2 linked regions of the Saccharomyces cerevisiae S288C genome follow. The protein of the gene in region 1 purifies or fractionates together with the protein of each later gene. This does not show direct contact. Each region holds a gene or a part of one and is shown on either strand. Other genes may lie near its edges.

Region 1 (7,421 bases):
GAAGTCTTAAAAAGGTCAAGCTCTACATTAAAATCTAATTCTTCGTTGCCTCCAAAACCGATCAGCAAAACCCCTTCGGCCAAGACTGTTTCTCCTACTACACAGATTTCTGCAGGGAAATCAGAATCTAGAAGAAGTGGCAGCAACATATCTCAAGGCCAATCATCTACCGGCCATACCACGAGATCTAGTACTTCATTGAGAAGACGTAATCATGGTTCCTTTTTTGGTGCCAAGAACCCTCATACTAATGACGCCAAGAGAGTGTTGTTCGGAAAAAGTTTTAATATGTTCATCAAATCCAAGGAGGCCCACGATGAAAAGAAGAAAGGCGATGATGCCTCGGAGAATATGGAACCCTTCTTTATTGAAAAACCTTATTTTACTGCGCCAACCTGGTTAAATACAATTGAAGAATCGTATAAGACATTTTTCCCAGATGAGGATACGGCGATTCAAGAAGCTCAAACTAGGTTCCAACAACGCCAATTGAACTCCATGGGCAATGCTGTGCCTGGTATGAATCCAGCTATGGGCATGAATATGGGCGGGATGATGGGCTTTCCGATGGGAGGTCCATCGGCATCACCAAATCCGATGATGAATGGCTTTGCTGCTGGGTCAATGGGTATGTACATGCCATTTCAACCTCAGCCAATGTTTTATCACCCATCTATGCCTCAAATGATGCCAGTTATGGGTAGCAATGGGGCTGAAGAAGGAGGAGGAAATATTTCGCCCCATGTCCCTGCAGGTTTTATGGCAGCTGGCCCTGGCGCTCCTATGGGTGCCTTCGGGTATCCAGGAGGGATACCCTTCCAAGGAATGATGGGATCAGGTCCATCTGGCATGCCAGCGAACGGGTCGGCAATGCACAGTCATGGCCATAGTAGAAATTACCATCAAACTAGCCACCATGGCCACCATAATAGTAGTACCAGTGGCCATAAATAGTGAAGGAAGCACGTCAGAAAAAGCAATATATAGTAATAAATTCATGCACTTTATAAATATGGTATATAATCAGTGGTACTTACTTACCCATAAATAATGGAACTTTTAATTTTTATGGGAAGGATACTGGATTTTCATTTTTTTCATTTTTTTTGGAACAGGGTACTGAAACTTTTCTTTTTGAAAAAAAAATAAGAACTGAAGAATTTCAATGAACTGGAAGGCTCATCCATTTTTTTTTTTTTTCTTCAGATAGAACAGGCTTTAGCAAATTTTAAGTAATCAGTATTTCAATCGCCACAATCTCAGGCTACATTGAACTCTGTAGGCCACCGATAAATATTGCGGGATAATGAGTAAACGAATTCAACGAGTTTCCTATTTTGGTATTCTATATTTTTTCATACACCTAAACGATCGTAAACATTTGTTGTCAAGATTTACGTTTCTTCGAGGTCTGTGAAAATAGAGCAAATTGTTACTTAAAAGACAACAACAAATGTGTAGGGCAATTCTGCAGTAACAGCAATGTCATTCCTAATGCGTACAAACAGTACTGAGACTTTCAAACGAATAATAACTTCAGCAATAAAAATTGTCCAGGTTAATTATGGAAGATATAGAAGGATACGAACCACATATCACTCAAGAGTTGATAGACCGTGGCCATGCAAGACGTATGGGCCACTTGGAAAACTACTTTGCTGTTTTGAGTAGGCAGAAAATGTACTCGAATTTTACTGTTTACGCGGAATTGAATAAAGGTGTTAATAAGAGACAACTAATGCTTGTCTTGAAAGTATTACTTCAAAAATACTCAACTCTTGCGCATACAATCATTCCTAAGCATTATCCTCATCATGAAGCGTACTACTCTAGCGAAGAGTACCTTAGTAAACCTTTTCCACAGCATGATTTCATAAAGGTGATTTCTCATCTTGAATTCGATGACTTGATTATGAATAATCAACCAGAATACAGAGAAGTCATGGAGAAAATCTCAGAACAGTTCAAAAAGGATGATTTCAAAGTCACCAATAGGTTAATCGAATTGATTAGCCCTGTAATCATACCTCTGGGTAATCCGAAGAGGCCTAATTGGAGATTGATTTGTTTACCAGGTAAGGATACTGATGGGTTTGAAACGTGGAAAAACTTCGTTTATGTCACTAACCACTGCGGCTCCGACGGTGTCAGTGGATCGAATTTTTTCAAAGATTTAGCTCTACTCTTTTGTAAAATCGAAGAAAAAGGGTTTGATTATGATGAAGAGTTCATCGAAGATCAAGTCATCATTGACTATGATCGAGACTACACTGAAATTTCTAAATTGCCAAAACCGATTACGGATCGTATTGACTACAAGCCAGCATTGACTTCATTACCCAAATTCTTTTTAACAACCTTCATTTATGAACATTGTAATTTTAAAACCTCCAGCGAATCTACACTTACAGCTAGATATAGCCCCTCTAGTAATGCTAATGCTAGTTACAATTACTTGTTGCATTTCAGTACTAAGCAAGTAGAACAAATCAGAGCTCAGATCAAGAAAAATGTTCACGATGGGTGCACCCTAACACCCTTCATTCAAGCGTGCTTTCTTGTAGCCCTGTATAGACTGGATAAGCTGTTCACAAAATCTCTTCTCGAGTATGGGTTCGATGTGGCTATTCCAAGCAACGCAAGAAGGTTTTTACCAAACGATGAAGAGTTAAGAGATTCTTATAAATACGGCTCCAACGTTGGAGGTTCGCATTACGCCTATCTAATCTCCTCATTCGACATTCCCGAAGGTGACAATGACAAGTTTTGGAGTCTTGTCGAATACTACTATGACCGCTTTTTAGAATCGTACGACAACGGTGACCACTTGATTGGTCTGGGGGTCCTACAACTTGATTTTATCGTTGAAAACAAGAATATAGACAGCCTTCTTGCCAACTCTTATTTGCACCAGCAAAGAGGCGGTGCAATCATCAGTAATACAGGACTTGTCTCGCAAGATACGACCAAGCCGTACTACGTTCGGGATTTAATCTTCTCGCAGTCTGCAGGCGCCTTGAGATTTGCGTTCGGCCTAAACGTTTGCTCCACAAACGTGAATGGTATGAACATGGACATGAGCGTGGTTCAGGGCACTCTACGGGATCGTGGCGAATGGGAATCGTTCTGCAAGCTCTTCTACCAAACCATCGGCGAATTTGCGTCGCTTTAATGCGATACTGCCGTAGCGGGCCTTCGTATAGCTCGGCCGAGCTCGTACAAAAGGCAAGCAGTGTATCGGACAGAGCTGATATAACACAATACGCTCGTAGTCGATGCATGCCGTGGCTGCTCTCGGTCGGGTATAAGTCTTAGACAATAGTCTTACCTCGCATGTATAATAAATCTTTTGTATTTAATCTATTATATGTTTCTATGCTTTTTTTTCCTATTGTTGTTTGCTTTTCCTTTTCCTTATTTCTTTCTAGCTTCTAATTTTCTTTCTTTTTTTTTTTTTTTTCATTGAAAATTATATATATATATATATATCAGAACAATTGTCCAGTATTGAACAATACAGGTTATTTCGAACAATTGAAAAAAAAAAATCACAGAAAAACATATCGAGAAAAGGGTCATGTCTGCTGTTAACGTTGCACCTGAATTGATTAATGCCGACAACACAATTACCTACGATGCGATTGTCATCGGTGCTGGTGTTATCGGTCCATGTGTTGCTACTGGTCTAGCAAGAAAGGGTAAGAAAGTTCTTATCGTAGAACGTGACTGGGCTATGCCTGATAGAATTGTTGGTGAATTGATGCAACCAGGTGGTGTTAGAGCATTGAGAAGTCTGGGTATGATTCAATCTATCAACAACATCGAAGCATATCCTGTTACCGGTTATACCGTCTTTTTCAACGGCGAACAAGTTGATATTCCATACCCTTACAAGGCCGATATCCCTAAAGTTGAAAAATTGAAGGACTTGGTCAAAGATGGTAATGACAAGGTCTTGGAAGACAGCACTATTCACATCAAGGATTACGAAGATGATGAAAGAGAAAGGGGTGTTGCTTTTGTTCATGGTAGATTCTTGAACAACTTGAGAAACATTACTGCTCAAGAGCCAAATGTTACTAGAGTGCAAGGTAACTGTATTGAGATATTGAAGGATGAAAAGAATGAGGTTGTTGGTGCCAAGGTTGACATTGATGGCCGTGGCAAGGTGGAATTCAAAGCCCACTTGACATTTATCTGTGACGGTATCTTTTCACGTTTCAGAAAGGAATTGCACCCAGACCATGTTCCAACTGTCGGTTCTTCGTTTGTCGGTATGTCTTTGTTCAATGCTAAGAATCCTGCTCCTATGCACGGTCACGTTATTCTTGGTAGTGATCATATGCCAATCTTGGTTTACCAAATCAGTCCAGAAGAAACAAGAATCCTTTGTGCTTACAACTCTCCAAAGGTCCCAGCTGATATCAAGAGTTGGATGATTAAGGATGTCCAACCTTTCATTCCAAAGAGTCTACGTCCTTCATTTGATGAAGCCGTCAGCCAAGGTAAATTTAGAGCTATGCCAAACTCCTACTTGCCAGCTAGACAAAACGACGTCACTGGTATGTGTGTTATCGGTGACGCTCTAAATATGAGACATCCATTGACTGGTGGTGGTATGACTGTCGGTTTGCATGATGTTGTCTTGTTGATTAAGAAAATAGGTGACCTAGACTTCAGCGACCGTGAAAAGGTTTTGGATGAATTACTAGACTACCATTTCGAAAGAAAGAGTTACGATTCCGTTATTAACGTTTTGTCAGTGGCTTTGTATTCTTTGTTCGCTGCTGACAGCGATAACTTGAAGGCATTACAAAAAGGTTGTTTCAAATATTTCCAAAGAGGTGGCGATTGTGTCAACAAACCCGTTGAATTTCTGTCTGGTGTCTTGCCAAAGCCTTTGCAATTGACCAGGGTTTTCTTCGCTGTCGCTTTTTACACCATTTACTTGAACATGGAAGAACGTGGTTTCTTGGGATTACCAATGGCTTTATTGGAAGGTATTATGATTTTGATCACAGCTATTAGAGTATTCACCCCATTTTTGTTTGGTGAGTTGATTGGTTAACTACAGCTTATAAGGGAGAGAGGATAGGAACCGTCAAACATTAAGCTGCACCTTTTTTTTTTATTACAGAAGTCGGCTTGGAAGGCTTGTATAGTACATTACGATAAACACATCTTATTTTTATTTATTACTTATTTATTTTACATATTTTCAAAAAAATTCACATATCATTTATTATTAACCGAAGTGTTTTATACTTTTTGTTCTTTCCTTAAAAATGCCTCCAACAGAAAAGGAAAAATGGCTTGATATGCTTCAAAATATGCATTGAGATTCATATTCGGTTATCAATTAACGATATTACTTCCTTAAGTGATATTAAATCAAGCTTGCCGGATTCTGCAGTCAGAATTATACATAATAGTATTTGTGCTCTCGTAAATCCTTTCAGAATTACACCATAGTAGTCTTTGTGAATGTTCTACTTATTAGAATAGATTATTGCTAGTTTATCTCACTTTTCATTCCCCATATCCCTTTTTTTGCTCATCCCCCGGGGTATTTTATCAAGATAAAATTTTATATACATGCAGTGCGCGATAACTCCTAGAGAGGCAGTAATAGCAAAACAAAGACAGTATAAGCATTATTTGGGTATGGAAAGACCATTGTGGGTACGTTGGTTGAAAGTCTATGCAATTGGTGGCGCTATTATTGGAAGCGGGTTTCTGCTTTTCAAGTACACAACGCCAACAGATCAACAGTTAATCAGCCAGCTTTCCCCAGAATTACGTTTACAATATGAGAGGGAGAAAAAACTACGTCAGTCGGAGCAGCAGGCTTTGATGAAAATTGTTAAGGAAACTTCTCAAAGTGACGATCCAATTTGGAAGACGGGCCCCCTTCAATCACCTTGGGAAAGGAACGGTGATAACGTTCAAAGCAGAGATCACTTTGCTAAGGTGAGGGCGGAGGAGGTGCAAAAAGAAGAGTTGGCTAGGATCAGAAATGAACTGTCTCAGCTAAGATCTGAAACGGAGGAGAAAACAAAGGAAATAGTCCAGGATAAGCAGGTTAAAAGCTGGTGGCGCTTCTGGTAGATGGGTCGGGTCACTCAATTAGGAAGGGCAGCTTGAACTTTTGCATCCTAAAACATACGTCTGTGTCATTTATGATATATTATTTATTTGTACACTGTAAATAGGTTTAAAAATATAACTTCATACTTATTTTTAGCTATTTTAGTTCCCATACTTGGGGATGGAAAAAACATTGCGCAAGCCCGGAATCGAACCGGGGGCCCAACGATGGCAACGTTGGATTTTACCACTAAACCACTTGCGCTTGTTATTTATATGAGATTATTGCATCATGCAATGGGGTAATGTCAAGGTTCTTGACAATCCTAATATAAACAGTCTTAGGGAAGTAACCAGTTGTCAAAACGGTTTATCAGCTTGATTCACGGGATCTTACTTATCCTATATATTATATAAAATATGGATCATACTAAATGGTGGAAGCGCGGAATCTTGGATCTAAACCAATTGTTCAGATACTTATACGTTAGAGTAGGTTAGCTAAGGAAGGCAGAGTTTTATTTTCATGTTGCTCATTCTGTTCGTTTTGCTGTAAGGTTGTTTCATATGTGTTTTATGAACGTTTAGGATGATGTATTGTCATACTGAGGTATCCCATTCTGAGATACAACAGAGAAGGTTCCTTTATACTTACTACACTAGGTACCACTATTATAATTTCGAGATTTCATTGTCATTCGGGTTTATTTATTCATTTGAAGCCCAGAATGACAATTTTTATGAACGGAGCTCTTCAAATTACATTATAAAAGTATATACGAATATACCATGAAAGTAACACCTTCCGGTTCTCACTAAAAAACCTATTTTCAGCATTTATTTCTACTACAAGGAAAATGAGTCCGTTTAGTCATGCAAAATCTCTGCTCCGTACTACAGTTCTCGATGCTGATCTTGTTTTTTCATGTTTCTTTAAAATCTATTCATTTATACTATTTCGCGAATAAAGAAACTACATCTTCATCATCAATCCTGTGGTTTAAGCCGCACTTCTGAGGAGAATGTTTGGCAGAAGAACCCCAAACCAATGCGTATTTGAACTTATCTTTGAAATCCCTGTGGATACCATGACATAAGTCACCAATAGTGGAATTATTTCTTACCACTAGAGGATCATCAAATACTGGTCTAACACCTCTCTTCTTTGTATACACACGACTCAAGTTCAGCTGGTACCAAATTTCTTCAACGACGTCTTGTAATCCCAAATCCATTTCACAGGACATAACAACGGTGTTTGGCTCTCTGGCAAGTTTATCCACCTCTTCTAATGATACTGCATCTATCTTATTATACACATAAAGACATTTGAC
Region 2 (6,225 bases), on another chromosome or scaffold:
TTTAGGTTATGCATCGTTGTCAGTAAGAAATCAGATGAATGCGATCTGAAACTTTGCTTATACTAATATTATTCTATCATACCTCATTTTCTTGCTTCGATTAATGCAGGACGCCGGTTCCGGGTTAGGATCACCGAGAAACAGAAAGCAAGCAAGGCTTCAGTTACAATTCGAAGAAGTACTAAGGGGGTTGTCGTGGAAAAATCTTGAATCAGAAAGCGGCTGACTGGAGCATTACTAGGTTCATTACTCACTGGTTCTACTCATGAAACCTTACTTATTTGACCTAAAGCTAAAAGACACAGAGAAGCTGGATTGGAAAAAAGGCCTCTCCTCATATCTCAAGAAATCATACGGCTCCTCACAATGGAGAACATTTTATGATGAGAAAGCTACTTCAGAACTGGATCACTTAAGGAATAATGCAAATGGAGAACTAGCACCTTCTTCATTGTCGGAACAAAATCTAAAATATTACTCATTTTTGGAGCATCTTTATTTTCGCCTGGGTAGCAAAGGATCAAGATTAAAAATGGATTTCACTTGGTATGACGCAGAATACTCATCGGCCCAGAAAGGATTGAAATACACGCAACATACGTTAGCATTTGAAAAGTCTTGTACTTTGTTCAACATTGCTGTAATCTTTACCCAAATTGCGAGGGAGAATATCAATGAGGACTACAAAAACTCAATCGCAAATTTGACAAAAGCTTTTTCCTGTTTTGAATATCTATCAGAAAATTTTTTGAACTCACCTTCAGTCGATCTTCAGTCAGAAAACACTAGGTTTCTGGCTAATATTTGCCATGCAGAAGCTCAAGAATTGTTTGTCTTGAAATTATTAAATGATCAAATATCATCCAAGCAATATACATTAATCAGTAAACTTTCTAGAGCCACGTGTAACCTCTTTCAGAAATGTCACGATTTTATGAAAGAAATAGATGACGATGTGGCCATTTATGGTGAACCCAAATGGAAAACGACAGTTACTTGCAAACTGCATTTCTACAAATCGTTAAGCGCTTATTATCACGGTTTACACCTTGAAGAAGAAAATAGAGTTGGCGAAGCAATTGCTTTTCTCGATTTTTCTATGCAACAATTGATTTCATCCCTTCCATTCAAAACGTGGTTAGTGGAATTTATAGACTTTGATGGGTTTAAAGAAACTTTAGAAAAGAAACAAAAGGAGTTGATTAAAGATAACGATTTTATATATCATGAAAGCGTTCCAGCCGTTGTGCAGGTTGATTCCATTAAGGCGCTCGATGCAATAAAATCTCCAACATGGGAGAAGATATTAGAACCATATATGCAAGATGTTGCAAATAAATGTGACTCTTTGTACAGAGGAATTATTCCCCTAGATGTCTATGAAAAGGAAAGTATTTACTCAGAAGAAAAAGCGACGCTGTTGAGAAAGCAAGTTGAAGAAACTGAGACAGCAAATTTGGAATATTCTTCCTTCATCGAATTTACAAATCTACCCAGGCTCTTGAGTGATTTGGAAAAACAATTTAGTGACGGAAATATTTTCTCGAATACGGATACACAGGGACAATTGATGAGGGACCAAATTCAGACATGGTGTAAATTTATCCAAACAAATGAATTTAGGGATATAGAAGAACAGATGAACAAAATTGTTTTCAAAAGGAAACAAATTTTAGAAATCCTTTCTGCCTTACCCAATGATCAAAAAGAAAATGTTACAAAACTAAAATCTTCTTTAGTAGCTGCTTCAAACTCAGACGAAAAATTGTTCGCATGCGTAAAACCACATATTGTCGAGATCAATCTATTGAATGACAATGGAAAAATATGGAAGAAGTTTGACGAATTTAATCGCAATACGCCTCCACAACCTAGCCTATTGGATATCGATGATACCAAAAACGACAAGATATTAGAGTTGTTAAAACAAGTAAAGGGCCATGCGGAAGACTTAAGAACATTGAAAGAGGAACGTTCGAGAAATTTGTCTGAACTAAGAGACGAAATCAACAACGATGATATCACAAAATTATTAATTATTAATAAGGGGAAATCCGATGTTGAGCTCAAAGATTTATTCGAGGTGGAACTGGAGAAATTCGAGCCTTTGAGCACAAGAATAGAGGCGACAATTTACAAACAATCTTCAATGATAGATGACATCAAAGCCAAGCTAGATGAAATTTTTCACCTTTCAAATTTCAAGGATAAATCTTCTGGGGAAGAAAAATTTTTAGAAGATCGTAAGAATTTTTTTGATAAGCTGCAAGAAGCAGTGAAATCATTCAGTATTTTTGCATCCGACTTGCCAAAAGGAATAGAGTTCTATGATTCATTATTCAATATGAGTAGAGACTTAGCAGAAAGAGTGAGAGTTGCAAAGCAGACCGAGGATTCAACAGCTAATTCTCCCGCTCCTCCCCTCCCTCCACTTGATTCTAAAGCGTCTGTCGTTGGGGGTCCTCCATTACTGCCCCAAAAAAGTGCAGCCTTTCAGTCATTATCTAGACAAGGGCTCAATTTAGGGGACCAATTTCAAAATCTCAAAATAAGTGCCGGCAGTGATTTACCTCAAGGACCCGGTATTCCACCAAGAACTTATGAAGCTTCGCCATATGCTGCAACGCCTACTATGGCAGCCCCACCAGTACCACCGAAACAATCGCAAGAGGATATGTACGACTTGAGAAGACGTAAAGCAGTTGAAAACGAAGAACGTGAACTGCAAGAGAATCCTACGTCCTTTTACAATAGACCCTCTGTTTTTGATGAAAATATGTACTCCAAATACAGCAGTTAGGTGCATTTCTTATTTCTTAATTTTATTGTAGCTTTTTTTTTTCAACTAATATGATAATTATATATATACCGGATTTGTTGAAAGCCAGTTTTGCAAGGATAAAGAAACTGCGATTTAGCAAAAGTCCCTTTAATGCTTCTTCCATCTTTGATCTACTTTCTTTTGAGTATTAGGTGTATACCATACACTTTCAGATCCAAAATCAGCCTCGGACATTTTTACAAACGAAATAAGGCCATTATCCATAATAGCGATAATAAAGCTCCGATATCCCGTCTTCAATCTACGATTTTGCTGTATGTGAGGTGGGTACGCCTTTCTCTTCTTTTTCGTGCTAGACTGTGCAGTTTTTTTTTGAAAACTTGCTTTCATAGACGACTCACTTTTTTCAGTTTGAGATTTCGCGCTCCTCTTATGAATATATTCCTTTCGTGGGATATCTTCAACGTAGGAGTTTGTCTCCCAATCGTCATCATCCTCGATTTCGCTTAAAAATTCGAATTTATAATCAAGTGAGGAAAACATAGATCGCAGCTCTTTATAGGTAGGAAAATGCTGAAGATCGTCATTTTTATTGTAAACGAAAACTTGGAAATCAGGAAGACCGGGGTCTCTTTTCTTGAAATTAGAATGGGGTTTCCATACTTTAAATGTCAAGGGAATATCCTTTACCTTTTGAAATTCCCTATCAGATTGTGCATCCAATAGCTCTTTTTTATTCTTTGGTACAGCCACGGAACGAACAAGCCTATTTAAACCCTGGTATAACTGTGGTGAAGTCGTATATTTACGAAAAAAAAAATTCCACTTAGAATAGAAGAAACCACTAAACAGCGATAACTCTTGTATTTTAAACAATGAAAGTAATCTCCAAGTGATTGCTTGTAAATTACTTCGTTGCTTTTTCAATGGGAAAAAGGAAGTCTTGACTGCTGCTTCTTGATTGCTGGGTTTTAGAATAAAACCCAACCTTTTTAAATGAGCAAACACAAAATATTGGTCCATTTCCTGTTGCGATGAAAACAGCGAATACAAATCCTCCATACTGAGTAAAATCTCTGTTTCGTGCTTTGAGCTTTTGTTAGAGCCTGCTTCTAATCTATAATAAGGAAGAATAGTGCCTCTCTCTGCCAAATAAACAAACTCATGGAAGTCAAGCCAGAGTTCGCCTGTGCTATCAGCCCTTCCCATCGTTTGCATAAAGCTGCCTTTGGGTTTAAGTAGAACGGCTTGATGTTTATGGGGAACATAGTATCCTCTTACTTCAGATTTTACTGTTGTGCCTCTTATTGAGTCTGATATGGTATCAAACATGGCTTTACTTGCATTATAGAGAAGCAGATCTTGCAAATTAGTCCCATCTGGTTCATAGTCTTTTTCACCCCTCTTTGGAAGTGAAAGAGCAGCATTTTTGCTAACGAGCGATGCGAGTTGCGACCAATCTTGTTGTAGTTCTTCTTCTTCTTCTTCTTCTTCTTCAAAGCCCGGATTAGATGTGGTCACTTGATCAGTTTTCTTCCCAGCGAATTGCATTTAAATTGGCAGAAGAACAGAGGTTTTATGTATGTTTATATCCAAACGTTTCGATAGCTCAAATGAATAATTTTTCATACTGAGATGAAGCTCTGCAGAGTTCGACTAAACTGTTTCTAGTTTCCCTTTGGCGCAACTTAACTATGAAAAATAATAAAATAAAAAAAAAGTCCAAGCCATAATCAATAGACAGCTAATAACCTGAATTTTAACAAGAGAATATGAAAACATTATCAATACTGATTTGAATATACCCGTAAATTCTATAAGACTCCATTAATATACCGTATTATATTACAAGTTGATAATACATAAATGCGTTAAATAAAACAAAAATGACCTTGTATACGCGTCATTCCAATGCAAGAATTTGTTTATCGTAAAGTTTTGATGAAGGTGTCTAAATTATACTCCTCCTCGTATTGAGATGGGTCCCATAGCTCTTTCAATTCACCGAGGGCCTCTTTGGCTTTGCCAGTTAAACCAGTCTCGTTGGCAATATCTTCCATGCCCTTGGCTGCTTGGGAATCGCCATTATTCTTTTCCTCATTGTCCTGTGAGGTAACGTTATCGGGGTCGAAGAGATCAAGCAGCTGATGTGTATCCATGGATGCTAATCCACTGTTTTGCTGATTAACAACTGTAGAAGCTATATTCATTTTGAATTTCTGCAAACCCATGATTTTTTCTTCAAGCGTACCTTTCGTAATAATTCTGTAAACATTAACAACCTTTTTCTGACCAATTCTATGTGCTCTGTCCATTGCCTGTAGATCATTCATTGGATTCCAGTCATGCTCTACAAAAATGACGGTGTCTGCACCAGTTAAATTCAGACCCAGCCCTCCGACCTTGGTGGTCAACAGTAGGCAATCAATAGAGGGATCTTCGTTAAATTTCCGAACAACTTTTTGTCTGTCTCTTGGGTCAATGCTTCCATCTAGCCTCATATAGGTTACGGAGGGCATATACTTTTTAAACAAGTCATTTTCAACCATGTCTAGCATATCTTTTAGTTGGCAGAAAATCAGGGCTCTGTGTTGTGATATGACATTTTGAATAGGAAAATTCTGATCTTGGCTTGCTTTTTTGTCGATATCTTCTTCACCTATACCACATTCAAAGAGTAATGTTCTCAATGCGCTCAGTTTTGGAGCGTTGATAATATCGTGTAAATCTAGACCAGTTTGCTTTAAATAGTCTTGTACTTGCGCTAATTGCGGGTGATTTGGTGAAAGGACCAAAGCTGGATGATTACACAATTTTCTCATGTATTGTAAAGCTTGGAAAATATGTTGCTTGCCATCAGCAATCTCAGAATTTTCAATATCTTTCTCAACTACATTTTTTTGTTTTTTAGTAAAATCCATGTATAGTTGTTTTTGTAAATCACCTAATTCACAGTAGTAATCCTGAATAATTTTAGGTGGTAAATCAGATAGAACGTCTTCCTTCAATCTTCTCAGCATGAAAGGTAGAACTTGCTTATGTAGTGCCTCCAAAGCCAGTACACCTGCTTCCTGCTCCTTAGATGATGTTTTACTATTTCTTGACGCAGCGATTGGCTTTGCGAACCTTTCCTGGAACATCTTTTCCGTTCCCAAAAATCCCGGCATTAAGAAGTCAAACAGAGACCACAATTCTAAAACGTTGTTTTGGATGGGAGTTCCGGTTAAAATTAATCTATGGTTTGCAGTAATTTCTTTAACAGCCTTAGCAAGTTTTGATTGAGAGTTTTTAATTATATGTCCTTCATCCAAAACACAATAATTATATTCAGTTTTGTTTAGGACTGCGAGATCATTTCTAGCTACGTCATATGATGTTACAATAATATCAGCATCACTTAACTGTGGTCTCAGAGTTAATCTGACAGTTGGGCCACCGGCATA

The links. Proteins that work in one complex are often made in the same cells at the same time.
Region 2: the proteins of ATF2 (region 1) and SEN54 purify together in Saccharomyces cerevisiae (affinity purification with mass spectrometry, with the first as the bait; one large-scale study listed by BioGRID). This does not show direct contact.

The regions. Positions count from the first base shown.
Region 1 is NC_001139.9:844,580-852,000, reverse strand, and holds ATF2 (alcohol O-acetyltransferase), read left to right. Parts: upstream 1-1,564; coding exon 1,565-3,172; downstream 3,173-7,421. Other genes in the region: PBP1 (Pbp1p), read left to right, coding at 1-954; ERG1 (squalene monooxygenase), read left to right, coding at 3,578-5,068; YGR174W-A (uncharacterized protein), read right to left, coding at 5,260-5,346; CBP4 (Cbp4p), read left to right, coding at 5,596-6,108; RBG2 (Rbg2p), read right to left, coding at 7,041-7,421. UniProt on the Saccharomyces cerevisiae protein: Can use acetyl-CoA to synthesize acetate esters from various alcohols, producing ethyl acetate, isoamyl acetate, isobutyl acetate, butyl acetate, hexyl acetate, heptyl acetate and octyl acetate.
Region 2 is NC_001148.4:393,773-399,997, forward strand, and holds SEN54 (tRNA splicing endonuclease subunit SEN54), read right to left. Parts: upstream 4,334-6,225; coding exon 2,930-4,333; downstream 1-2,929. Other genes in the region: BRO1 (Bro1p), read left to right, coding at 266-2,800; MOT1 (DNA-binding ATPase), read right to left, coding at 4,708-6,225. UniProt on the Saccharomyces cerevisiae protein: Non-catalytic subunit of the tRNA-splicing endonuclease complex, a complex responsible for identification and cleavage of the splice sites in pre-tRNA. It cleaves pre-tRNA at the 5' and 3' splice sites to release the intron.